Linked DNA regions of Astyanax mexicanus. The protein of the gene in region 1 purifies or fractionates together with the protein of each later gene. This does not show direct contact. Links are inferred from orthologs where the notes say so. Each region holds a gene or a part of one and is shown in the gene's direction. Other genes may lie near its edges.

Region 1 (13,192 bases):
TCCAACCGAGGAGCTTACTGATGCAGAGAGGAGAAAAGGGCAAAACGGGCAAGGCAGCCCTTTCAAGGCTAGTCTCAGTGAAAGTTCTCCAGCTTGCGTAACCGCAGGGGATTGGAGGGCAAGGCCTGAGGAGACGGAGTGGCAGCCTCTTGGTCAGGTGAGCTGAAGAGCACCCGGCCTCGGTGATTAAACAGGTAGAAAGAGGGGTGGTTTCTCAACGTGTCAAATGTCCTGGGAAAAAGGGGGGAGCAAAAAGACAAAAAAGGTGAGTAATGTTGTTAATAGGGCTGTGTATTGGCAAAACTTGACAACACAATACGCATCACAATACAGGGCTTACGATTCAATACATGGCGATACACTGCGGTACTGTAAGCAAGGGATATATTATGTGGTATGTTATTTCAAATTCTTTAAAAATTCTTCAACTTTTTTCCCCCCTATTTTCTCCCTAATTTACAAGGCCAATTACTCTACCCACTCATTGGGACCCCCCCAATCACTAATGACACCCCAACACCAGGAGGGTGAAGACTAGCACACGCCTCCTCCGATATATAAGAAGTCAGACTCCACTTCTTTTAAAACTGTTGCTGATGCAGCATTTCCGAGTATCATCACAGCGCAAAAAGTGCAGCGACTCGGTTCAGATACATCAGCTCACAGATGCCTTATGCTGATCAATATCACCCTACGAGTGATGTGGGAAGAGAGCGCCATCTACCAACCCAGAGAGAGCAAGGCCAATTGGCTCTCTCAGGGCTCTGGTAGCTGATGACAAACTACATAAACAGGATTTAAACCGTAGTTGATTTTTTTCCAGCCGCAGCCACTGAAACTCTTTGATAGCTCCTGCGATGTTGGTAAAGATGAAACTGAAACTTTATGTGAAGCACTGCTCATCAGTTTTACAGTGTCAGCTATTCAGGCAAATGTAATATATAGGTCAAGTTAAAAAGTGTGCACAAACCAAAATAAACAACTGATTAGGTGATAAAATCGTATTGGGTCACTACACTTTCTGTGTAAACATAGCCTTAGAGTTCAGATGACATTATTATTATTATTACTTGGACTTACTTGTGTTTGAGCTCTGAAGAAGCGTCCATGTCTTTAAACTCACCAGAGATGTGGACTATTCCACAACATGTAATCACAAACGCTAATAACGTCTGTAAGACTATCTGCAAACAGAATAAAAACACATTTCAGAAATAATAACTCCAAAATTTCACTTTTTACCAAACTGACACATTTAACATTTAAAATGATAAGAAAAAGAACTTACATCTATTGGAAGAGTCTCATTTTCTTTTTCTGTTAGTCGCATGTATGATCGATCTAGAAAAAAAAACACAATTGGTGTGATCAATTTTAAATGTCCTCAAAAGCTGAACAAAAGGTTTTGGTTTTTTTGGGAATATGCTGAAATGTGATCCATCTATAATCATTCTGTAATGACAGCACTAATCTTTCCTCTCTGCCAGTGAAGCTGTTCTGCTTTCTGAAAAGCACTTAGGCAGTTTTCCACATGACAAACAAAATTCATATTTTTTATGCTGTTCATATCAATATTGGAATTATATTATAGCTAGAAATACTATACAGAATATATATTGTGGTATAAATTTTGGCCCAATTTTCTACGACTAGACGGACAATATTGGGAAAAATAACATTGCAATACATTTCTAAGATACGTATTTACATATAAGCAAAAATACAGTAATTTTAAACAGATTTCACCAGAAATCAAATTTGGACTAAAACAACCAATCGATTAAATCAATTATTAATTCTAATGATTAATTGTTCCTTATACAATAAGGTTCTCTTAAATATTTCATTATAAAAACAATATTTGAACTAATATATTACATATAGCTTGAATTAATTATATTAACACTATGGCATTTTTATATTTCTTGAGAATTTTAATCAAATACTGCTTTGTGTGTTACTGTTTAATGTTGCTCTGGGACTACAAATTTAAAAAATACTGTTTTAGAGATGACATTAAATAAAATAGCCACATTCTAAAATGCTGCCTGGGGCTACAACGAGTTAATAAACATATTTTCCTTATATCCAAAGAATAATCGATTAATTAAGTAATCAACAGACTAATCAAAATCATCATTAGTTGCATTCCTTAATCAAAATTCTTTTTCAGTATCTAACCATTAAAATAAAAATGATAATGGCTGAATAAAATGTAAAAACTGCACAATGTAAGTTAGTAATTATAGCTATAGCTTTGTATAATTATAGCTGACATCATTAACTTAGCTAATTAACTAACTGTAACACCATATTCTCTAGACATTTATTTTAATTGACCCTCAAAAAGACGTTAATTAACGTTTAACGTTACATGAGACAAATCCTACTGTATTAACCTAGCGTTAACTAGCCAGTATCTATCTTCTAAGCGCTTATATAGCTTAGCTAGCATTTTTGCTAATGCAAATGCTGTGATCTAGCCTGAACCGCATACACACGTATAAATCTATAAAGTCTGCCGTGAAATAAACACAGCTAAAACTAGCTGACTACAGTATAAATAAGTATAATAATATCAGTGTGTAGACTGTTAAAGCTGCTCAATGTAAGTTGTATAATTAGCTATAGCTGTAACTGAGGGTCTGGCTGAACGCGCTGCTGCTGCTGCTGCCGCCGCCGTTAAGTCCGCAGCGCAGCTTTAGCACTCCGGCTAGCTAAGCTAACCCGCCAGCTCTACAGGCCACGAAGCCCGTATACACCATTTTATAAAGCTAGAAAATTTAACACAAGCCCCCACAGCCGATCCCCGCACCACTACTCACGCTGTGCCGCCGAGAACGCTGCGTGGGCCAGCGCAAACAGGCCCAGACCAACGACGCCTTTCCAAAAGGACGAAGCCATTTTCCACTGAGTGAAGCACTGAGCGCTGACTGAGCAACGGGCAGCATCCCTTACCCAGCGTCCTGTCAAAATAAGAGTTTTGGTCGGGAGTAGAAATCCAGGCCAAACATGTCGCCTCAGCCTCCGTGCTTTTATTTTGAAAAATATTAACGGTTTAAAAATGGCACCTGTCGTTATTAGCATGAACATGCATTTTCTAGTACTGAAGAATACTATATATATTTTTGTTAAATATATATTTATTTATTAAATGCACAGGGGTGATTGTATTATTTTCAATATCTTACATAATATAGAAACCATAATTAAATAGAAACCACACGTAAAACAATCCATTACATATATTAACCCTTTCAGACCGTGTATCTATTAAAACATCGTGTATTTTCTCTATTTTTAAATGTTTTGTTGCTCATAACACTATTTAAGAGCTGCTGTTGTCCGTTAAAATAGACCATGAACCAGGCCCCGCCCACTGCAAAAACACTGGGAAAACAGTAATACTACAGCCATTGAGGCAAAGTAACAGCTAGTTTTTGCTATTTTTTTTACTGTTTAAGGATGGTTAATGAAATATTAAAAATAAAAGATTAAAGATCATAATGAAATATATTACACACAGGTTCCAATGCAATGGAAATAAAAACCCTGTTTAATATTTTAGTTTATTGGATGTTTTTGCTTATATAGGTTTTATAGTAGAATATTAGAGTCTTCTTTTCTGTGCATTACAGAGAAAACAGCATTCTTACATTTTTTCCATCACTGAAGGTAATTCAGGTCTGAAAGTATATATATTTATATATGACAATATAGCAAACAAGTCATTGGTTAACAGCTTACAGCTGGTAAGTAGCAATGAAAATGAAGCCTACACACACACACACACACATATATATATATATATATATATATATATATATATATATATATATATATATATATAGATAGATAGATAGATAGATAGATAGATAAAAAATAAATAAATATATGTATATTTTTTATATATTTATTTATATATTTATATATATTATATATATATATATATATATATATATATATATATATATATATATATATATATATATATATATATATATATATATGTGTGTGTGTGTAGGCTTTATTTTCATTGCTACTTACCAGCTGTAAGCTGTTAACCAATGACTTGTTTGCTAAAAAATAAACCCTTCTTTTTTTTAACAATATCTTTTTTCTTTTTTTTTTACAATATGCTCTTTTTTTACAGTTTCCAAGAGTCTTTTGAAGGTGTAAGAAACAGTACTCTCGCTCTCTGGCTTCATCTGTAATTTCTCTAAAGAAAAGACTTCTTCTTTTAATAGTTACATAGGTGCATTTTTCTGGTTATCATGATGAAAGTGTGAATGTGCTGTCTGTTGTTTTAATGCTTCAGTAGAGAATGCAGTAACAATGTTCTGTTCAAATACTGCAAGACTGCATTTTTAAAAATCCATTTCCAAAGCTTAGTTTATTTCCATTGCTGCTTCCCAGCTGTAAGCTCTTAAACAATGAATATCTAAAAGTCTTAAAGTCACCCCCATGATCTAACACCTGGGGTACACTTAAAGTATATTAATTATGAGATAAAGAAGAAACACTGTACACTGGTGTGGCTCTCTTCTCTACTACAAACACCCGTCTTTAATCTGTGGCCTTAATTTGTCTGGAGCACAAGATGAAAAAACACATGAAAGTTTCATTCAGAGCGTGCTCAGTTTCTGTCTGAATGCCAGACTCTATCACAGACCTCTCCGCTGTGGTTCCGCCAGAGCCTGTGTGGAATGAATAAACAGTGTCTGGTTAAAAAGTACCTGACCTGAATTAAGGGCCTCCTGTATTGTCCCTTCACTTCCTCTACAGAAATCCCATGTTCTGGGGGTGTTCCTTTTTATTAAAAGAGAAATTCAAAATATGTTTTTATTCCTAATAGGGCCTGGTGTGTTTTGTATTGCTGATAAAATGTTGTGGGTCCTTCAGGGGGACATCTGGCTACAAACAGGGCTGTTTAAAAAGAGTTTTATGGAATTCACAAACGTCATACAGAGAAGGAAAATATGACAGCAGTGAAAAACATATTGTCGCTGTCCAATGTAAAACACTTATCTCTAAAACAGCAACTTTACAGGAGAGAGAAAAAACCTTGTAAACTTTCAGTGGAAGTCAATGTAAAAAGAGTATATTTCAGGTCATTTTGAAGAGTTTCTATTGGTCCGTTCATTAAGAAATTTTGACACAGTGTAAGGGACAGTTTGTCTGTTCAAATTATGTAGTAAACTAAAAATTGGACATAAGTGTTTTTCATAGGACAGCGACGATATGGGAAGCAGTTTAAAAAAGTTACAAAAATATAACAAAGCAAAGTGAGGCCACCACTGTAAGAAGAAGACCTACACTTCACAGAGTTTTTCCACAACCATGTTTACAGGATTTTGTACCAAAAAGTACAAAAGTATTCAACATTTAGCAACAATCATCTCAACAAATGGGCAGTTTGGGCAGGGCACTGGGTGATGTATGGGTTTAGAGGCAGAACAGGAGAAAGAGCTGATTGGCTGAGCTACAGCAGCAGGAAGTTTAGTGTCCTTTTAAAAGGGAACTTAACAGGCTTTTTAGTATCTGCAATAAGATTTATTGCCAAACGAACCATTGTACCATAAATAAATATTCTACCAAACATCTAGCTGCAACGACTAGACTATAAAAAATTGTCGACACAGAATTTAATTGTGGACGCACCTTTAATGCGTGAAGGAGCAAAGAGAGTGTGCGGGAGAGAGAGCATTCGAAAGAAAAAAGGGGTAAGTGAGGAAGACACATATATAGTGGGTTAAACTCCTTCATTAAGATTACTAATGCTAGTTAAATTACCTGGCTAAGTGTTAGGGAAATACTGTATTCTGTCCGCTCCATTAAAAATTATGTTATAGTAACTACATATCTGTTAATATTTACATCTCAATTGAAAACATATACATATCCTAGAATCTCCTGAAAATTACATCCAGCCTGTGCAAATGTTTCCTATAATATAGTTTCTATCAAACTTTTAAAAGCTGCACAATTGGTCTAGGGCCCGAAATGTTTAGCAGTCAATGTGCAATAAAATATACATTGTGGTTAATCGACTAATAGAAAAAAAATCATCAGATTAATCATCAGATTAATAGTCATTAGTTGCAGCCATACAAACATCTACAAATTACTTTTTTTGCTTTATTTATTTACATTTGTACCTCTTGTTTTTATGTTACTTGTTGAAGACAAATGATGAAGACAACAAAACAGAGACATAATGTAAACATATATAATGAATAGTCATTATTTATGTTTACCTTATGTCTCTGTTTTGTTAATCTGATGGGTTTTTTTTATTAGTCGATTAACCACAATGTATATTTTACTGCACATTGACTGTTAAACATTTCGGGCCCTAGACCAAGTGTGTAGTACATTTTAAAAATTATATAAAAATATAAAAATTATATAAAATTTTATAATATTATATAAAATTATATTAAAATATTCTGCGCAGTGGCTGCGCATCTCGTGCGCCGCAGTAACGCGCGCTAGTAACAGTGGAGCGCTCCTCCAGCGCGGTGACGCAGAGCGAGGGGGCGGGGCGGAGCGGCTGTGAATCAGGAACAGAGCTCAGCCTTTTCTGCCGGAGCTGAAATTTCCTCCTGCGGGTTTATTATGGTTTACTGATCCTCCGCCGAACCCGCGACCCTCACACCTGCAGCTTCCGCAGGACAGGCGAGCATGGGATCCGGGGGGAAAGTGAAGGCGGCGGCCGGGGCTCGAGGGGCGCTGCTGCTGGCGCTGTTAGCCGGCCTGTGCGCGCTGTTCCGCGGCTGCGGGGCTGAGGACAGCGCGATGGAGAACATCGTGACTGAGAAGAAGGCTGAGGAGAGCCACAGACAGGACAGCGCAGACCTGCTGATCTTCATCATGCTCCTCACCCTCACCATCCTCACCATATGGCTCTTCAAACACCGCCGCTTCAGGTTCCTACACGAGACGGGCCTGGCCATGATCTACGGTAAGAGCGGCTGATGCTGCTGATTAGAGTGGGGGATGTTTACATTCAGCATCCAGGATCTAACTGAAGATACAGCTCTGGGAAAAATAAGAGTCCACTTAAAAATGATGAGTTACTTTTATTTTACCAAATTGAAAACCTCTGGAATATAATCAAGAGGAAGATGGATGACCAGAAGCTATCAAACCAAACTGAACTGCTTGAATGTTTTCATCAGGAGTGGTATAAAGTTATCCAAAAGCAGTGTGTAAGACTGGTGGAGGAGAACATGCCATGAAAAAGCATAGAAACCGTGATTAAAAAACAGGGTTATTCCACCAAATATTGATTTCTGAACTCTTAAAACGAATATGAATATGAACGTGTTTTCTTTGCATCTTTTTGGTATTTCAGCCATTTCTAATTTTCTGCAAATAAATGCTCTAAATGACAATATTTTATTTGGAATTTGGAAGAAATGTTGTCCACGGTACATTATACAATAAACAAATAACAATGTTCATTTTACTCATACCTATAAATAGAAACTGATTTAGAAACTGAAGTGGTCTCTTAATTCTTTTCACAGAGCTGTATTACTATGTTTAGTAGTGCAGTATTAGTGCTGTGTGGCACAGACAAGCTGCTTTTTTATTTTCTCATCTTATTAAAGTCTTTACTACCTCAACTCACCTGTCAGACCTCTAAGTTTTCTCTTCACTGCTGAAACCGAAGAGACTAAGTCCAATGTAAATAAGCTGAGATAAAGGCTAAAGCTATTGTCATGTGGGTCAACCAGCCCTTTTTTTGAGGGGTATAAAACAGTACTTACCACTTTCACTGGCTTCATATGTTATTTCTATAAAGAAAAGGCTTTTATTTATATGGTTTTAGAGTCCTCAGCGCTTCTGTGTCTTTTTCTAGTTATTATGATGAAAATGTGACCCTAACACCTACGCTGACAAGTATTTACCTTACAACTATAGACCCAGCTGCTGTTCACACGCCATATACTGATATTAGTGTGTTAAATAAGAGGCTGGACATGACTACAGTAATCTAGCTATCAAAGATTCTGCCGGAGAACCATCTAGAATACATCTCTGCCCTTTAGCTAGTTAGAGAAAACATGTTGCTTCTTGGTTCCTCCTTAGATTATCATCAATAATCTCTTTTACAGTAAAACAGTATAAGCTGTTGGGAAACATCAGTAAGGGCTTTTTACTAGAAGAAATTGTAGTTCCATATGTCTCTCAGATAAAAGAGAGTAAAAATTCAATGCTAACCATTATTAAATTTTATTGAGATCATGACAATTTATTGTATACAATCAGTCAATAAAGTAATTATCATGACCGGCCTGCTTGTAAATATGCATAGCTGATATCGGAAGTGAAAGTTTCTAATAGTAAAAACTCCTTCTGTGATTTGAGCAGAGTTAGGATTTGCATTGTTGGTGGCATTTTAGGCTAAAACAGTTTGCTATTGCCATTTGTGTGACTTTCTGTTGTTAAAGATTTGTAAGCTTTGAGGCTAAGGTGTTTAATACACTGTCCCAAACACTGTCACTAGCCTGTGGTGGGTTTTACGAAAGGGTGGATTTCTTAGCACTAAAATTAATCTTAAATGGTTGAGCAAACTTCATACTGAGCACTCTCTATCTTAATGTTAAGCTGGTTTATTGATAAGATGGTTTTAGGTAAACTGAGCCCAGAACAGTTAACTTGTTAAAATCACAATTGTATGGAAATGCTTTATATGTGGTGTTGATAGTCATTGCATGTCTGTTGTGAAAAATATTAAATCTTGTTTGAGAGATATTTTTGCTAGATTTCCCATTTTAGCTGGTCTCAAAAGGAGAAGAGATGAGGTTCTCATTTTGTAATTTATTAAACCAACATTAAAATTCGGTGTTGTGTAAAACCACACAGGCCACTTAATATAAAACAGAAGAAAGAAAACAAGTAGAGTATTTAATATTGACTCGTTTATTCTGTGTTATTAGGATTGCTTGTTGGGGTTGTGCTGCGCTATGGGATCCATGTACCTCGAGACATCAACAACGTCACTATGAGCTGCCACGTCAATTCCAGTCCAGCTACGTTGCTGGTCAACGTCAGTGGCAAGTTCTATGAGTATACGTTAAAGGGTGAGATCAGTGCCAATGAAATCAATGATGTTCAGGACAACGAGATGCTTCGTAAGGTAAAAGAATTACTTATATTTGAAAAAAATATATTAAAAAAGGGTTTCTCTAAAATTCTCCTTCACCTTTACTAAGTGATTTAGTACATTTCAAGTGTTATTCTGCTTTTCTTGTGGATCAGATGAGTCTAACACTGTATTTATAACCCTATGACTCGATAATGTGTATCATTTTAGTTTAGCAGCCTTCTATTCTTGTTGACATTTAATGCTGTTAGCCTTATTTTACTGCAAAGTCAAAAACTCTGATTGCTGGTGTGTCACATGTCAGAGCTGAGGTAATGCATCACATGTTTCAAACAGTTTGAAGTAATGTGTTTATATTGACCTGACTGTAGTACAGTCTTATCAGTGTGTCATATCTTATTCTCTTCTAGGTAACTTTTGACCCTGAAGTGTTCTTCAATATTCTCCTGCCTCCAATCATATTTCACGCTGGGTACAGTCTCAAACGGGTATGAACTCTTCTTTTGTTTAGACTGGGACAGCTTAGACTACGTCACACTAAGTAGCAAACTGGCCACATAATTAGATTTAAGAGAGCTTGACTTGAAGCGAGTGCATCAGATTCATGACTGTCTGAAGTATAAATACCAGAATTAAATGCTCAAGACTAGCAAAACTAGCCAGGAAATTGCCATATGTCTTTGAAATTGGAAAATAGCAATTTCCAGGCCTGAATTAGTTTTGGAAAAATAAATGTACTCAGAAAGTTTTGGTTAAACTATGAAAGTTTGGTTTACAAATCTTTCTGTTTCTGTTTATCGATGGAAAAAAAAAATCTATTTTGAGCTAACAAATACATCAGCACAGAGTTTAGTAATTCAGTAATTTAACCCTACGCAATGGACCTTTCAGGATCTGACACATATCTTATTATTAAAGATTTTAATCAGATTAATTTTAGGCCTACTATAGTAAATTTTAATTATAGTTTTAGTGATTTTTTGCTTTTATTGTCCATGTCTGCACTGATGTTTTAAATCATATTGTCATGAAAAGTTGCCTTGACGGCATGGAAAATCATAAACAAAATCATGGAAATTTATTGGCTAAAAAGTGTATGAACCCTGTTATAATCTATTAGTGAAATTCATTGTCTTTCACCTTATTTCAGAGACATTTCTTCAGGAACATGGGCTCCATCCTGGCGTATGCCTTTGTTGGAACAGTGGTGTCCTGCTTCATCATTGGGTTTGTGCACTTTTAAAACAGCCTTTCTGAATTCACCAGCATTCAGCAGCTCATTTTAAAAGGAGGATTTTTGCTGCCATTTCAGGTTACTGATGTACGGCTGTGTGACGCTGATGAAGCAGATTGGCCAAATGGATGGGGACTTCTTTTTCACTGACTGCTTGTTCTTTGGTGCCATTGTGTCAGCTACCGACCCAGGTGCGTCTTATGCTATTTTCACAAATGTAGTGAAATGAAGTTCACTAGCAATGCAATGAATATATGGCAGTGGTGGTTGGTGCGGCACCTCCTGCCAGTGAGCTACCACATTATGTGGGAGACTGGGGTTCAATTCCCGGTCTGGGTGACTGGGTGCTGCTCTACACCAATAAGAGTCCCTGGGGCAGACTCTATTGGCACTACATTGGCCTTCCTCTGTAATAAAAATAACCATTTAAGTTGCTCTTCATAAGAGTGTCAGCTTAACGCTGTAAATGAAAATTAAAATGTAAATTGATTTGGGTGAAAACAGCAAAATCATAAATGTAATAAATTATATTGAACAAGATTATGCTTTATTGTCATGTATGCTGGGAGGTTGAAAATGTTTAATTAATAGTAGTTTTGTAATTGCTTTTTCTTTAAATGAAGACTAAAATACATTTAGGGTATTTATGCAAAAAAGTGCCAAAGTTAATGGATACTTGTGAAAACGTCTTCTCTAATGTTCATTTTGTTATTTTTACAGTGTGGTAATTTACAACACATGTCCTTTCTTAAGGAATTTAGTGATGCATAGATGCTAAACTAGTTTGCATTTTAAGCTAGCTGACATGTTTTCCTCAGTTTGACAGAAGGATAACTGGCCTGTCTAAACATTAGGCAGTCGAAAAACGTATTGTAATAAACAAAAAACAAACACAACTTATGTAAAACAACACAGCTTTAGTCATATTTATTTATAATTTCAATTATAGTTCAGGGAAAAGTTGATTGTTAACCTTTGTTGTGAATTTTTAAGTTACCCTTAACTCTTTAAGTACTACTTCAAGTGTGTTAGCTTGAAGTGCGTTAGCTTGAAGTGCGTTAGGTTGAGGTGCGTTAGCTTGAGGTGCATTTGCTTGAGGTGCGTTAGCTTGAGGTGCGTTAGCTTGAGGTGCGTTAGCTTGAGGTGCGTTAGCTTGAGGTGCGTTAGCTTGAACATGCTGGGAACTAATTAGAAAATAAAAAGGCTGTGGACTGGGTAATTCATTGATAATTAATTGAAACTGACATTTAAAAAAACCCTAACTAAAGAAAAAAAATATGTTAATCATGTTTTAAAGTAACTATTCATTAATCCTAATTAAGGTAAAATGTTACATTTTTCTTAACTGTTGTTTTTAATGTCAAATTGCCAACTAGTGTAGTTGTGGAAAAGTAATGGTTATGCGTTGGGTGTAAATTAGCTGATACCTAATTGTTTTAAAGCCTGTCTGGATCAGAACAGGTAGTATGATTTCTAAATCTGATCCTTAATACTAAAGCTTGTGTTCTGAACTTTGTTTCCTAGTGACAGTCCTGGCCATCTTCAATGAGCTGCAGGTGGATTTTGACCTTTATGCTCTTCTGTTTGGGGAGAGTGTATTGAACGATGCGGTGGCTGTGGTGTTGTCCTCGTAAGTATTTTTTCTTACAGTAGTTCATGTTCCTGTTCAGCAGTGTAGAATCAAATATATTATACATTTAGACATCTTTTGGACTTCTCTTAATGGCCAGATCAGATTTAGAACATTTTTAAAAAACATTTTAAAAACATTTGTGTATTTATAGGCCAGTTCCTGCATATTCAGTAGTATGCATTAAATCATTCACCTGTTCTAGTTGTACACATTAGTGGAGCACGGTGTTTTGAGATGTTTTATAACTTGATACTAATCACAGAACGTCTGCAGTGTGGAATGTGCCTAACATTTGGTTCTTGTCCTGTTGAACCCGTGTCCTCATCTCCAGAATTCTCCCTAATCACGGGAGGCACGGTGGGGTGGGCCAGCATAGCCACGGAGGCGTGGCTCAGTGCGTAAAGGGCGGGAACCAGACGCAAAGACCGCCCCTCAATGGGTGTGCTACACAAGTAGCTTTGATTCTGAAGATCAGAGTTGTTTTGTGTGTCTGCATTGGCTGGTGAAAGCCACAGTATGCAGAGTGAATGGCTCACAGTTAGGCCTCATGCTCTCTCCTGAGGTGAATCAGCATTATTTACTACCTAAATAATCAAAAAGGATCTGTTTTCCACAGTGTGATGTGGTTTAATTTTGAATTTCATAATGAATACCATTGAAAAATGTAAATTTAAAGTAAATTATATCCAGCTGTGTTGTAGACCAGCCCTGCTGAACCAGAGCTGAACACCCATGAATTAAATAAGCTTATATATTTGGGGGGATATTGGGGCCAAACTGTGGGCATTTGCTGGCTGGGTGATGGGTGTGTGTTTTGGCTTCAGGTTTGACCCTCAGAAGTGCTTCTGTAGAAATACTCTTTACTCCAGGAACCCTTTATCTGCTGTACTCGCACCCTTATTTGTATTGTTTAAATAGGTAGAACCCCATGATTTCTGCGATATGGAGAACATGGACGGAATCTATAATTGAGACAAACGAATATAAAGAAATGAAGAAAAACTGAGTAAAAATACTTTTAATAATTTAAAACCTGTATGAATCTTATTCAGTGCTTCAGGATGCACCTGAACTGCAAATTAATTGCTAAAGTTTAACCATAACAGTGTAGAATTATTTTTATAGTAATGATTTCCCTAATTACAACGCAGAGCTGCAGTGAAAACATAAAGACTCAGCAGCCTTCACATGAACGGAGCCTGTGATTACA
Region 2 (12,951 bases), on another chromosome or scaffold:
ACATTATAAACACTGACCCAACTGTATATTTCATTACAGAACGTGTAAAGAAATCATGTTTGATTGGATGGTGTGCAGCAAAAAGAAATAGAATTGCTATATAGCAGAATAGCAGAATTCAACACTGCTGATGCATATTGTCTGCGTGTTGAAATGTTATTAATGTCTTTAAATATTGTGATGTTGAATATCAGTGCATAATAGCATACAGCAAGGGTGGTGGCTTTTATAATGTTTATATCGATAGCTGAGTTGTATCGTATTGACTAAAATTAAGCAGTATATAGTAATAATGATTTTTGCAATATCGTCCAGCCCTACCTTGTAAGTAATGATGACTAATCATGTTGCTATTGGTTTACAGTAGATATCATTCTCTCTAAACTGTTATCTCTGTTATTTATCATTGTGATCATTTACAGTACCATTAAAATATCTAGGTGAAATGTTTTCAATAGTTCAAAATAAATTAGGAATTGTTAACTTAAAGTTAATGTCATCATAATAAACTGTTATGACTAGCCTGGACATTTTTTTAAACTAGTCACACATACTCTATCCCTTTATTATTTATTTTAGTTATTTTATATATATATAAACTCTGTTTTAAGTTGTAGTAATGTCCAATGTGCAATTTCACTTATCTGAAATATAAATTTAGGTTATTTACAATTTGGGTTTTAATTACTAATGCTTATACTAAATCTGTGACTAGTCAGTCAATCAGGTGCAGTGTATTGGAACAGTACATATTGTGAATCATTATCTGTTGATAAGATGCGTTTTATTGTATTTGCACTGTACTGATATGCTGTCTGCTTTTGCCAATAGGAAGAAAATGACTGGAAGGAACCAGTATAATGGCTTCCAGTCTGCTACAGTGGTGCAGCCTGCAATGGGAGGACACTCTTATATATTTGGGAACAACTCGGAGACGGAGTGCTCGGAGGAAGATGTGGAGAGCTACGAGCTTCGCTCCAGAGGCAGGGAGAGGCTTCGGAGGAGTACCTCGAGAGAGAGAATGGATGACATTGTCTACGTGATGAGGGACATTAAGGAGGGCGACACATTGATTAGCATTTCTCTTCAGTATTTCTGCTCGGTAAGTCAACTGTGGTTTCTTTTTTCTGGGTTTTATTTTTCTGTGGCTTGTCATTTTCTGTGTTTTTTGTAGCAGGGTAACATACAACAAAATTCATATAGAAAAAAGAAGTTCCTGAAAAGCTGCCTTAATAGCACTCGTGTATACTTTTTTTAAACCTTTCAACATTATACAGGCACTATACTAAAATAGTCCTGTGCTGCACTGCATAATAATAACAACTGCAACAACAATAGGCTGTAATTAACTGGATACATAAATTACACTAGACAGCCTGTTATTAACGCTTGTTTTTTTTGGTTGTGTCTCAGGTTGCTGACATAAAACGAGCCAACAATCTCCTGACAGAGCAGGACTTCTTTGCCCTGAGATCCATAAAGATCCCAGTGAGGAGGTTCAGCTCTTTCACTGAAACTCACAACACAGCTCCATATAAAAGCGACTCGCCCGGTGGCGTTCGCCGAGTCTTGGAAATTCCGCTGCCTGAACCACCTACGGACCCCTCCCCCTCCTCTTCTTCCTCTACTGACAGCGTTGAGTGTTTTCTGCAGGAGAAGGACAAGGATATTGAACTTCTCGTCAAGTCCTCCAGTCCTTCCAGGAGCAGCCTTAGCGAGGTGGTTTCTTCTTTTAGCCCTCAGCAGCCATTACTGGGAGAGTCAGAGAGGAGGCCCGTCCAGAGGAAGGACCCCTACTATGGTGCAGACTGGGGCATGAGGTGGTGGACTGCAGTGGCCATCATGCTCGTCGTTGGCATCGTCACACCCGTGTTTTACCTGTTATACTATGAGGTGCTGATGAAGTCGGATGTTAGTCACCACGCTACCGCCGAGTCCATTAGACCTGAGCCTACACATGCTGCCTTTGGTGCTCCTCCTGCTATGCCGCCGGCCAAGGCTGTTCCTCACCAGAAATCTCATATGCATCCAGTTGTTGAACTTGAGGGACCAGATCTGGGGCAGAGACAGAAAACATAAAACATAGAAATATACAAATTGGGAATTTGGACCAGTTGACATGGACCAACACATTACTTTGGTGGCATTTTTTTTTTTTTACTTCGACAGAACCACTTGAAGTAATATGTATTGTACTTTTTTTTTTTTTTTTTTAAAGGATGAGTTCAATATTGTTGAACCGGATCTCTCTCTCTATATAAAAATATAGTTGCTAGATAAGATAATATATATAAAAATGGGACATTTCTGTTTTGAAGTGCACATCAACATTTTTAGAAGGGTTTCAGCAAATTTGACTTTGTTCTATAGACAACGTTTTCTGGCATAACTCTCTGTTTTTGACACATCTTTAGTAAAAAAGGTGGGCTGCACTTCCTGCAGCCTTGCTTTTACATCATAAGCCCTATCCAGATGGGATTTGTTTCTCAGGGGGTCCTGGGGTAAATTTATTTCCGAATTACCCAGTAATTTTTGTGAGTTTCGTCACTTCGCGCTTAATAAAATAGCTACTTGTCCACTGCCATGCACCGTAATTACACTTTGGGTGCACGTTTCCATTGAGATACATGTAAACACAATAGTGAAGGAAATGGAAGAGCTACTGAACGCGATGTCATATGAACGAGAAAGCCAAAAAATCTCACTAGTCCTCCTGTTTCTTCAGTTGCAGTCCGGATGTAAGAGTTTTATCACTGAGTAGAAGTGGGAAATATTTTTCACAGACATGCCCCTGAGAAAATAATCCCATTCGAATAGGGTTTAAGATTATTAAAGACATCAGTTAATTTACTGAAAAAATAATCTTCATAGGACAGTTCAACCAAGGACCTACTCTACCTCAGATGCAGTCTAAGATTTGGAAGATAGCTAAGATAACATCAGGCTTTGCTATTGCTATTGGTAGATACTAACACTGGCAGAGTTTTTTTTGCGGGGATTAAACGGTTATGACGCATTTTTCAGGGGTGTCTGATCTGAAGATTTTTTTATTCTAAACAACTAGTAGCACCCCTGATTCCACCTTTTTTAAATTTTACTGTATCAGATTAGATCTGTAAAATGACTGGATTGGATTATACTCTGAGAATACCTAATCCAAAAATACATGACCGATACCATACACCATTTTAATTAACTAAGTTAATTAAGTTAACAGTTAACTTGATTAACTATTCTTAAAATGCATATAAAGCAACTTGATACACATTTCATATGAATGTAGATCTGATCAGTCAGTGCTAATTAACAAATTAGGTCAATTAATTACTTGAATGTTTCTCCAGACAGCTGTACATGTGCATAAATCCATAATTCCTCTGTCGAGGCATTCCTAGTGTGATTGGTGTGGAATTATAATAATGACAGTGTGTTTGGTTCAAAACTGTTGAACTCGTCCTTTAATATGAGGGATGATTTATAGACTCTGTGACACTATTATCAACCTCTCATGCCATAGCTGGACTGATTGAAATGATGTGAACAGTGCCATGTGTTTTTGAGCTTGGTACTGCTTTGGTGTGAAGTTTGAAGTAGATAGAACTGGCTCAGCTCCCACAGGCGATTGTCCTTATTGCATTTTGCACAGTTTTATCCTCCCCCATGTGAGCGGATGTATAGCTACGTAATTATTAAATGTTTGCTGTAACAGTAAACAAAAAAAACAACAATCTATTCAAAACATCACTTTGAGACGGTTGGGGTCTCTCATCAGGGATACATGCGTACACACTAATTTATTCTAGAATATGGGCATAGTTACAGAAACAAAAATCAGTATTGATGTTGCTGTTTTGTTCTTTGTTTGCTCGAAACTTTTGTCTGCCAGCTGCAATTTTGAAATCCTTATTTAACTTGTGCCAGTACACAGCAAACCCTGTTTACACCTGATCACTTAATGCACTTTGAGGATCAGGATTATATCTGGATTATATAAAGCCAAGCAGCCATGGAAAAATAGAAGTGTAAACACACCCAATATGCATTTAAAACAAATAACTAAAATGAATCTGCTTCAAGAGGTGGTCTGAGACATTGACATTTGACCACCACAACTCCTCCCAATATGTAAATTTGTAAATTTGCATAATTTCATCTCCCAAAGCAGTCAGATTGTAGTCTGACTAACCGGAGACACATTTGACTACCAAGTATACTCACATGCAGCTAATATTAAATCAATTTAATTAGGATTCAATCCAGATACTAGTCCCATTAAGTGACCAGGTGCAAAAAGGGTCAGTGATTTGAACTGTTTCTTAATTACTTAAATGGAAATTCATATTGTAAATGTTTTCTCTTGACCATGACATTTTTGTTCAACAAGGAATTTGAGCAGTATGTGCCTTCGGCCTATAGACCGTAGTTGCAGTTTGAAAATAAATGAACTATATTTTAGTACCTGAATCTCCAAATCTTGTTTGTACTTTAATACACAATTGCACAGAACATAGATATAAGTCTCTTTTAAAGAACAGAATACAGAAAATGATGAAGAATACAAGTCAGTATGTGGCTTCATCCATATTGTCATCACTGCCAGCTCCGTAATCATCACCATCTTCAAAGTAGCTTGCAATGTAGTCATTCTCCTGGAGGGGGGGGAAGGAATGCAACATTTCCCAGATCATTCCATAGTGTATTCACAACAGTTAATGATTGTGTTCCAACATGCAGATTTGATTTTGTAGGTTAAAAAAAAAATATATATATATAATATATAATTCATAATGTGTGAATATTAAATCTTTTTAGGTATAATTATAGGTACACTAGAAGGTAAAGATACAGTGAACCAGGCAGTGAACCAGTTCCGTTGGACTCTGCTACACGTCCTTCCGCCCACATAACCCAAGCATGGCATCTGTAATGTTGCCCTAAAATATTATTTTACAGGCAGCACGATGATCAGAACCTTGCTGAGTTACAGAATCAATAAATCAACCAAAAAGGCCATGTAAATGTGCCATCTGTCCACTCACCCAAAAAAACTCACTGAATACAATCTACGTCACCTGGAATGCACATGTATGTATGTTTGCTTTACAATGGATTTTGAAAAGCTTTTTCATAGAATGAGATAAATGTAAAATATGGAGTTTATAATGGACAGTAGAGAGCTTATGATAAATACACTGGTTATTATGTTAATACTTTAACTGAAGATAGCAACAAAGAATACCTCTGTTAGTAGAAATGGTAATACTACTAATTACTACTACTACTACTACTACTACTACTACTACTACTACTACTAATAATAATAATAATAATAATATTAATAATAAATACAAAAGTAATAAATACAAAAATCTAGCTCAGTTTGATATTGCGGTTTTTCAATTAATGAAACAGGGCTGTATCTGTTAAAAATACTCAAAGCATATGGGGCATTTTTTAGAAAGCGATTAAGCCAGGTTGTACAATATATAACTTTCAATAGGGGAAAATCTCCACTCAAAATATTGTTTAGTCCAAGACTAGGCTTAACCCTGTCTGGAAAACTGTCCCATGGTGTTTAACAGTCATTACTAAGCTTTTACCTCCTCAAGCTCTTCTTCATCAAACTCCTCTCCTTCAACTTCCTCTTCATCCTCTTCACCAGCCTTCTTTTTGCCACTTTCCTCTTTCTCCTCGTCTGATTTATCATCCCCTTTCTTCTCCAGTTCCTTTAAAAACAGACCAAATGGATAGAGAATTGATCTATTCTAATTTTAAGAATTAAATTAATACACAAAGAGTGGTTTTCCTGACAGGGTTTAAGCCTGGTCATAGATTTTCTTTTCAATGTAAAAATCCCTATTTAAAATGCTGTGTAGTCCAAGTCTTAGCTTAATCCCTGTCTGGAAAACTGTTTTAAGGTGTTTGTAATTTTCAAATCCATTTTAGACAAAAATTAAGAAAAGAAGGCAAAACAAATGTAAAAAAAAAAAAAAATCTTACATCCAGTTTAGACAGTAAGACCTCCTTATCATTGCTCGAAAGTGATTTGGATTTCTTAGAATCTGTAAAAAGGTCATGTTGTTGAGAAATGGCACTCATACCGTAACATCTGACAAAAATGTACACATGTAAATGAAGTGCATGCACCAGTTTTTCTTATGATTTTCTTCTTCTGGGGCATGAGCTCCTTTGGAAGACGGTTCCAGTCTGCAAATCAGATTGAGACAAAATTTGTTTATATGAAATCAAACAATCATACACTTGGTTTAAAAGGTGAAGATGATACCTGGTGTCCATTCTTCATCACCAATTTTACTATATTCCTTGACGTATTTTTCCTTGTACTTTTCAACGTCTGCAAAAAAAAAAAAAGGTCACAAAATGTCCAAACACCTTTCACAGCTTCATGTTTAAACTATAAAAATATAACACCAGTTAGTCCAGATAGGTTCAGTTTCACACTGCAGTTTGCTAAGCAGAATAAATAAGTTTCCTACATCCTGTCATCATTATCGTCAGTATGTCAGCTACATCTCTCTATACTTCACACTGTGTTGCAGAATGTTTTCAGTTCTGCAAGCTGCCTTTCCAGGTGTTGTGCTGAATTACCCCTCTCTGCCAAAATCAGACTCCCTTTGTGTGCATTACCCTCAAATGTCTTTTATTTTTGTTTGTGAATAAATGCATGTAGTTAATCTACAGCTACAGTAAATACAGAGATCACCTGCCTAAGCATTTGCACCTCTATTGTTGAGTACCTGGTTCTTTTTCTTCTTTTTTTAAAGGCTGATAATACTCTTAAGTGTTATACTGTTTTACACTGAAGAAGAACCGGACCACAGTTCACAACCCTTACAACAGAGGTGTGAAGGGATTCCGCACCTCTCTGCCTGCTGTTGTGTGGTTAAAAAGGTTTATCTAAAGTGCTGCAGCTGTACAGCTGCCATGCATTACAGCTTGCTGTGATTAAATCTGAGAGAGCGTAACTCACTGTTCTTGCTGGAGCGGGGCTTTATGTTGAAAGGCAGGCCTTTCATTTTCCCTCTGATCTCTTGTTTCAGAGCCAACATGTAGTCTTCAGCCTCACCAGCCTTTAGAGGCACAGGTTTGAACTCGACTTCCTGTAGAAGAGATGCAAAGTTTGGGACTGTGACGTAGCATCTGTGTAACCAGGCACATAATAAAAACAATATATCTCGTTTTAGCATTGCCTTCTCAATATGTAGGTGCACAGTAGGGTTAGCATGAGACAGACATTCAGAACACATAATTTTTTCCACATTTTTAAATTCTTACAAACTTTCAAAAATGTATTTTATGGTGTTCAAACATTATAAAGTTTTTGAGCTAAGCATTTAGCAGCCAGCTTAAATGAACCTTTTAGAATTCAAACAAAGGAGACAACAGAGGACTATAGACTATAGACTCACAGGGAACATGGGTCGTGGGCCTCTCTGGGTTTCAGGCATGGATCCTCTGTTGAGCCCCAGGGCCTCTATGTTGAAGGTAAAGGCTGCTACTCCCCTGCCTCTCCCTGCCATGATGGTCCTCTATATCTCTTTCTTTCTTTCTTTCTTTCTCACTATTATTCTATTTTTATTAGCTACAACGTCCAAAACAACTTTTTTTTAGTAGAGTTTGAGAGTAAAACGTCGTTCACATGATTACAGAATGTATCCCTATTTTTCACAGCTTCAACAGATTTTTTCCGAATATCTTAAATGAATTTCAGAGGCGTTGAGAGCGTGCTTTTTATATGTGAGCTGAAGAGTTGGGCGGGGCTTGTTCGAGTTCGTTTTACCAATCGTATTTCAGCTTGACTCTGCCTCGCGCACCCACGTCCTCCAATCAGCGCTGCCCTGAGAAAAGAAAGGGGCGTTAACCGCTGCACCGCCCTCCTGTTTGCTAATGTAGCTAATGTCATGGCTGCGGGCGTCTGCTGCAGTGCTCGGTAGCAGGATTTCTGTTGGAATATCGCAGTTTTTCGGCTGTTTAATCGATTTTTTTCGCAAATAACGACAGCGTCAATGTCTTCAATGGACTGGTACGCTCATAAAACGCTGGATAACGGCGTGTTTTGGATCCAGGAGCGCTTTTACGAGTCGGGGAACAGGGCTAACATCTGGCTCCTTCGCGGATCCCACCAGGACGTGGTGATAGACGCCGGCCTGGGCTTACGGAGCCTCCCCGAGTACATCAGCTCCAAAGGCCTGCTGGGGGAAGACGCCAAGCGGAAAAAGCCCTTGCTGGCCATCGGCACGCACGTCCACTTCGATCACTCGGGTGGGCTGCACCAGTTTCAACAGGTGGGCGTGCACGAGGCCGAGGTCGATGCCCTGGCCAATGGAGACAACTTCGAGACGGTGACCTGGCTGTCTGACCGCGAGATCGTGGAGAACCCGTCCCCTGGGTGGACGGCCAGGCGGTACAAAGTGAAGGCGGTGATGCCTACTCACATATTACAGGAAGGTGTGTCACCTAGCTATGTAGCCTATCATTAGTGTGGGCCAGCAGCATCTTAGATTTTAAAGGGGTTATTCAAGCATGAAAACCCTGAATAAACTAGATAATCAGGACGGCAAAGCTGGACCACGTTGGTCTCCCAGCATTACCAACATTACCAAAATAAAATACATCATTAGTTCCCTCTACCCAGCTGGCACACAACCGACCTTCAACGTTGAAATGTGGTTGAAATATGACTTAAGTAAGCTCTGTTGTTGTTTCAACGTTGAAACAACGTTACATCGTCATCATTTAATGTTCAATGGTTGTGCTAAAGTTGGAATTTTAACGTAGAATCAACATAATGTCCTCAACCTTCTCCCTTTTGAATCAGCATTTTACATTTCATCACCATAGAATTTCTTTTAAAAATTGGATGGAGGAATGAAAAGGTGTTTTATTTCTATTTTAATTTAACATCATGTTCATGTATTAATAGTTTTACTGTTTGTAGTGTTTTTGAGATCAGATGTTCAGTAATCAGATTGGTAGTGTTGGGTAACTTTCTTTGTACTCAGCTTTACTACAGTGATGTAAGTTTATTGTTAACACTTTGTTAACCATAGGATTTTCTAATTTTAGTGAGCTATGGTTTATAAAAGGTTAAACGTATGACGTTGAAACAACGTTGCCATATCAACGTTGATTCACTTTTCAAAAACAACGTTCATTCAACGTCGATTCAACCATAACATCTATGTTCATCAACGTTGATTGCCAGCTGGGTAGTTAACCAGCTAGCTTATCAATTGGCTATATGGTATGTTTTTATCTAGATGTCCAGAATTTAAACTGTTTTTTTTGTCTAATAGTGGGAATCACGGGACATATTTACTATATATCACGTTTCGTTGGCCACGATAAAGATATTTCACTGCATCAGTGTTACTGAAGAGGAAAAAGTACTCCTAAATAAGCAAATACCAGATGTTTCACAGTCAGTTTCACATAATTTGACAACCAATATTCTTCACAGCTAAATTATCATATTGTTTTGATTAGTGCCACTTTTTGGAGTAACCAAGCAGCAACTTTAGTAAGTCAAGTTGGGGGGCGAAAAAAATGAATAAAATATAGATATTTGATGCTACATCATTGTTATAATACAATACAGTCGAAACTATACAATACTAGTGCATCTCACTATAATTGAAAAGTAACTTAATTTTAGTAATTCAATTCAATCTGTGTATTACACACAGAGTGATCTATTTTAAGCGTTTATTTCTTTTATTTTTGATGGTTATTGCTTACAGCCAATGAAACCCCCAAAATCAGTGTCTTAGAAGATTAGATTATATAAGACCAGTTGGTACTTTTGGCAGTGTGGGCAAAATCCTGCTGGAAAATGAAATCTGCATCCTAATCTCCATAAAAGTTGACTTTGGACTTGATATAACACAGTGGACCAACACCAGCAGATGACATGTCTCTCCAAATTATCACTGATCATTAGTAAATTTTACATTTCATTTGAAAATCAAGGGAGCAGAGTCTGGAGAAAGAGTGAAAAGACACACAGTCCAAGCTGCTTGAGGTCTAATTTGAAATTTTCACAGTGATGGTTTGTAGATCCATGTCACCTGCTGGTGTTGATCCACTGTGTTATATCAAGTCCAAAGTCAATGCAGTGTTTTCCCAGAAAATATTGCAGCACTTCATGCTTTCTCTTTATGGAGATGCAGATTTTATTTTCCAGTAGGATTTGGCACACTGCCCACACTGCCAAATGTACCAATTGGTCTTATATAATATTGTAATTTTCTGAGACATTGATTTTTGGGTTTTTATTGGCTATAAGCCATAATAATTAACAATAAAATAAATAAATGTTTAAAATAGATCACTCTGCGTGTAATGCATCTATATAATGTGAGTTTCACATTTTGAACTGAATAACTAAAATAAAATAACTTTTCATTTATATTCTTTTTTTTTATGCACTAATATACTGCAATAGCAATATATATTTTGACTATCTGCTAAACCCATCTGAAACTAGCCACCAGCAGAAGCTAGCTTGCAGCTAATCATGGATTCTTGTAGGCAAATACTAAGATGGTTGTAGTGGAGTAGATTAAGGTTGTTTCTGAGATCTGCTAGAGCAGCGTTAGTGATTACTGTATTAGCCTTTTTTATCTTCTGCTGATCTCAATCTTAGCAGACCATCAGGATCAAATCTAGATTGCTATCTGTCTCAATTTCCTGACCCTGGATATTCTTCACAGAACATTTTAGTGTTTTCTCAGCTCTTTAAAAGCCTAGTGTCACTCTTCAGCTCTCTAAAAAGGCTGTAATGAGGTTAAATGTGCGTGTTTGAGCAGAAAACCCTGAAATCTGCAGTACAGGCGTATTCCATGTTCAGCTCTGGGAAACAGAGCATCGCAGCATGACTTCATTCTGACCCGCCTTGTAAGATCTGGAGAGGAATCAAACACAATCAGATTACTTGCGCTTGTCTTAAAAGGAGAATGCCTGTGGTTTGAGAACCAAGTCTAATATGGCCTAATGTGATTTCTTTATCTGTCTGAAGGTGGTGTATTGAGGTGGTGGGCTACACAGTTCTACCAGAGAAAGTGCTGCAAAACAGTGTAGCTTCCAGTGCAAGAATAATAAATATGCCCATGATATTATACTTTATTTTAGCCTTTTTTGTTATAGGTTCTGTAATATCCTTAGCATAAAGTGCTTGAAACCCTGATGGCTTATATGACACTACAATGATATCACAATATTTTAAAGTATTTCTAACAATAGTCCAACATCCTGGCAATAGTATTGTGTCAGACCATATTGGACAGCTGTATAATTTTATTAATTATGCAGTTGGATTAGGGCAGGGCAGATAATTAAAAATAATCAAAATTGAAACTGTGAGCGATATCTTGACCATTATGTTGGTGGATTGTTTCATTTTTTACTTTAAATATTGTTAATATTTCCTCATTGTGTGTGTGTTCATGCATGTCCCCTTAATGACATACTACTGTGTGTGTAGTTTCATGAGCCTGCCCTGTCATCTTGTACTAAAGAACAATACAGTATATGTTGTTATTTAAAGTAAAATATTCAGTTAATTGTCATATTGATTTAATGTCATATCACCCAGCACAAATTCCTGTATTTCTAAATCTGTAATGCAAATATATAATGCAGAAAAAAAAACATTTCCAATATCGTACAGCCCGAATTTCCAACATAAAGTGTGATTTCTCTAACCATATCAAACGTTCCTGTGTAGTACGCTCTTACTAGCTTCTCAAGTTGGCAATAAATGGGATAGATAGTAACACCTTGTAAGATGGTAATAATAATACCTTCAGAATTCAAAGCAAAATGCAAATTTCAGTAGGGATGTATTTAAGCTCATCTGCCATCACCTTTATCATCAGTTAATTTCACAGCACTGTCATACAAAGCCGAAAAAAAAAAAAAAACCAGCATGGCCAGCCCAAGCTAGTCAGACTTGTTAGGCTTCTTGACCAGCCTAGTTTTTAACAGTATAAGGTATGTTTTTGTTTCTGTTTAATAATTTAGCTGGTCTACAAGCATAATTAAGCTGAGCAAGCTAAAAAAGGTAGGGATGCACCAATGTGGGAATTGTGGCCCTCTGGAATCGGATCAAGAGGAAGATGGATGATCACAAGCCATCAAACCAAGCTGAACTGCCTGAATTATTTCACCAGGAGTGGCATAAAGTTATCTAAAAGCAGTGTGTAAGACTGGTGGAGGAGAACATGCCAAGATGCATGAGAACTGTTATTAAAAATCAGGGTTATTCCACAGAATATTCATTTCTGAACTCTTAAAACTGAATATTAATGTGAATATTAACTTTTTTACTTTGCATTATTTGAGGTCTGAAAGCTCTGTCAGCATGTCAGCAAGTGTTGTCTTTAAATATTGGCCATATCAGCTTACACCAATGATTTCTAAACAAAGCAGTTATACGCAGATACCAATATATTTCTGATTTCGTCATGCATCCCAACAACTAGAATGACCAAGTTCTACCAAAGGCCAGCTTAAGCCCTATCTGGACGAGATTAGTTTCTTAGGGCGTCCTGGGGTCATTTTCTTTTTAATGGGGGGGTCCTCTGTGATTTTATTCCCGTCCGGATTGACCATGTATATGTTTTTCTCAGACGTCCTCTGAGAAAATTACAGGCTGAATTATCTACTGTTTTTTTCGCTGAACTCTGTGGTCCTCTGGTAATTTTAGTCCCGTCCGGAGGCACATCTCTGAGTTTCGTCTCTTTGCGTTTAATAAAGTAGCTATTTGTCCACTGCCAAGCACCGTAATTACACCGTAATGGCACGTGACCATGAAAGCAAAAAAATCTCACTAGTCCTCCTGTTTTTTTAATTGCAATTACAAGAGTTTTTATCACTGAGAAGAAGTATGAAATATTTTTCACAGACATCCTCCTGAGAAATTAATCCCGT

What was found.
Region 2: the proteins of slc9a6a (region 1) and mblac2 purify together in Homo sapiens (co-immunoprecipitation; 3 studies listed by BioGRID and IntAct, counting the BioPlex papers as one, with this or other methods). This does not show direct contact. The link is inferred for Astyanax mexicanus from reciprocal best matches to the Homo sapiens genes SLC9A6 and MBLAC2.

What each region holds. Positions count from the first base shown.
Region 1 is NC_064417.1:46,680,090-46,693,281, forward strand, and holds the start of slc9a6a (sodium/hydrogen exchanger 6a), read left to right. Parts: upstream 1-6,526; 5' UTR 6,527-6,684; coding exon 6,685-6,964; intron 6,965-8,948; coding exon 8,949-9,148; intron 9,149-9,525; coding exon 9,526-9,603; intron 9,604-10,265; coding exon 10,266-10,342; intron 10,343-10,427; coding exon 10,428-10,540; intron 10,541-11,873; coding exon 11,874-11,979; intron 11,980-13,192. Other genes in the region: mmgt1 (ER membrane protein complex subunit 5), read right to left, coding at 75-231, 1,081-1,184, 1,289-1,341, 2,826-2,904. UniProt on the Homo sapiens protein: Endosomal Na(+), K(+)/H(+) antiporter. Mediates the electroneutral exchange of endosomal luminal H(+) for a cytosolic Na(+) or K(+).
Region 2 is NC_064429.1:22,497,716-22,510,666, reverse strand, and holds the start of mblac2 (metallo-beta-lactamase domain-containing protein 2), read left to right. Parts: upstream 1-7,909; 5' UTR 7,910-8,027; coding exon 8,028-8,469; intron 8,470-12,951. Other genes in the region: lysmd3 (lysM and putative peptidoglycan-binding domain-containing protein 3), read left to right, coding at 839-1,102, 1,414-2,079; polr3g (DNA-directed RNA polymerase III subunit RPC7), read right to left, coding at 4,337-4,649, 5,601-5,726, 6,102-6,207, 6,287-6,355, 6,992-7,121, 7,431-7,541. UniProt on the Homo sapiens protein: Acyl-CoA thioesterases are a group of enzymes that catalyze the hydrolysis of acyl-CoAs to the free fatty acid and coenzyme A (CoASH), providing the potential to regulate intracellular levels of acyl-CoAs, free fatty acids and CoASH.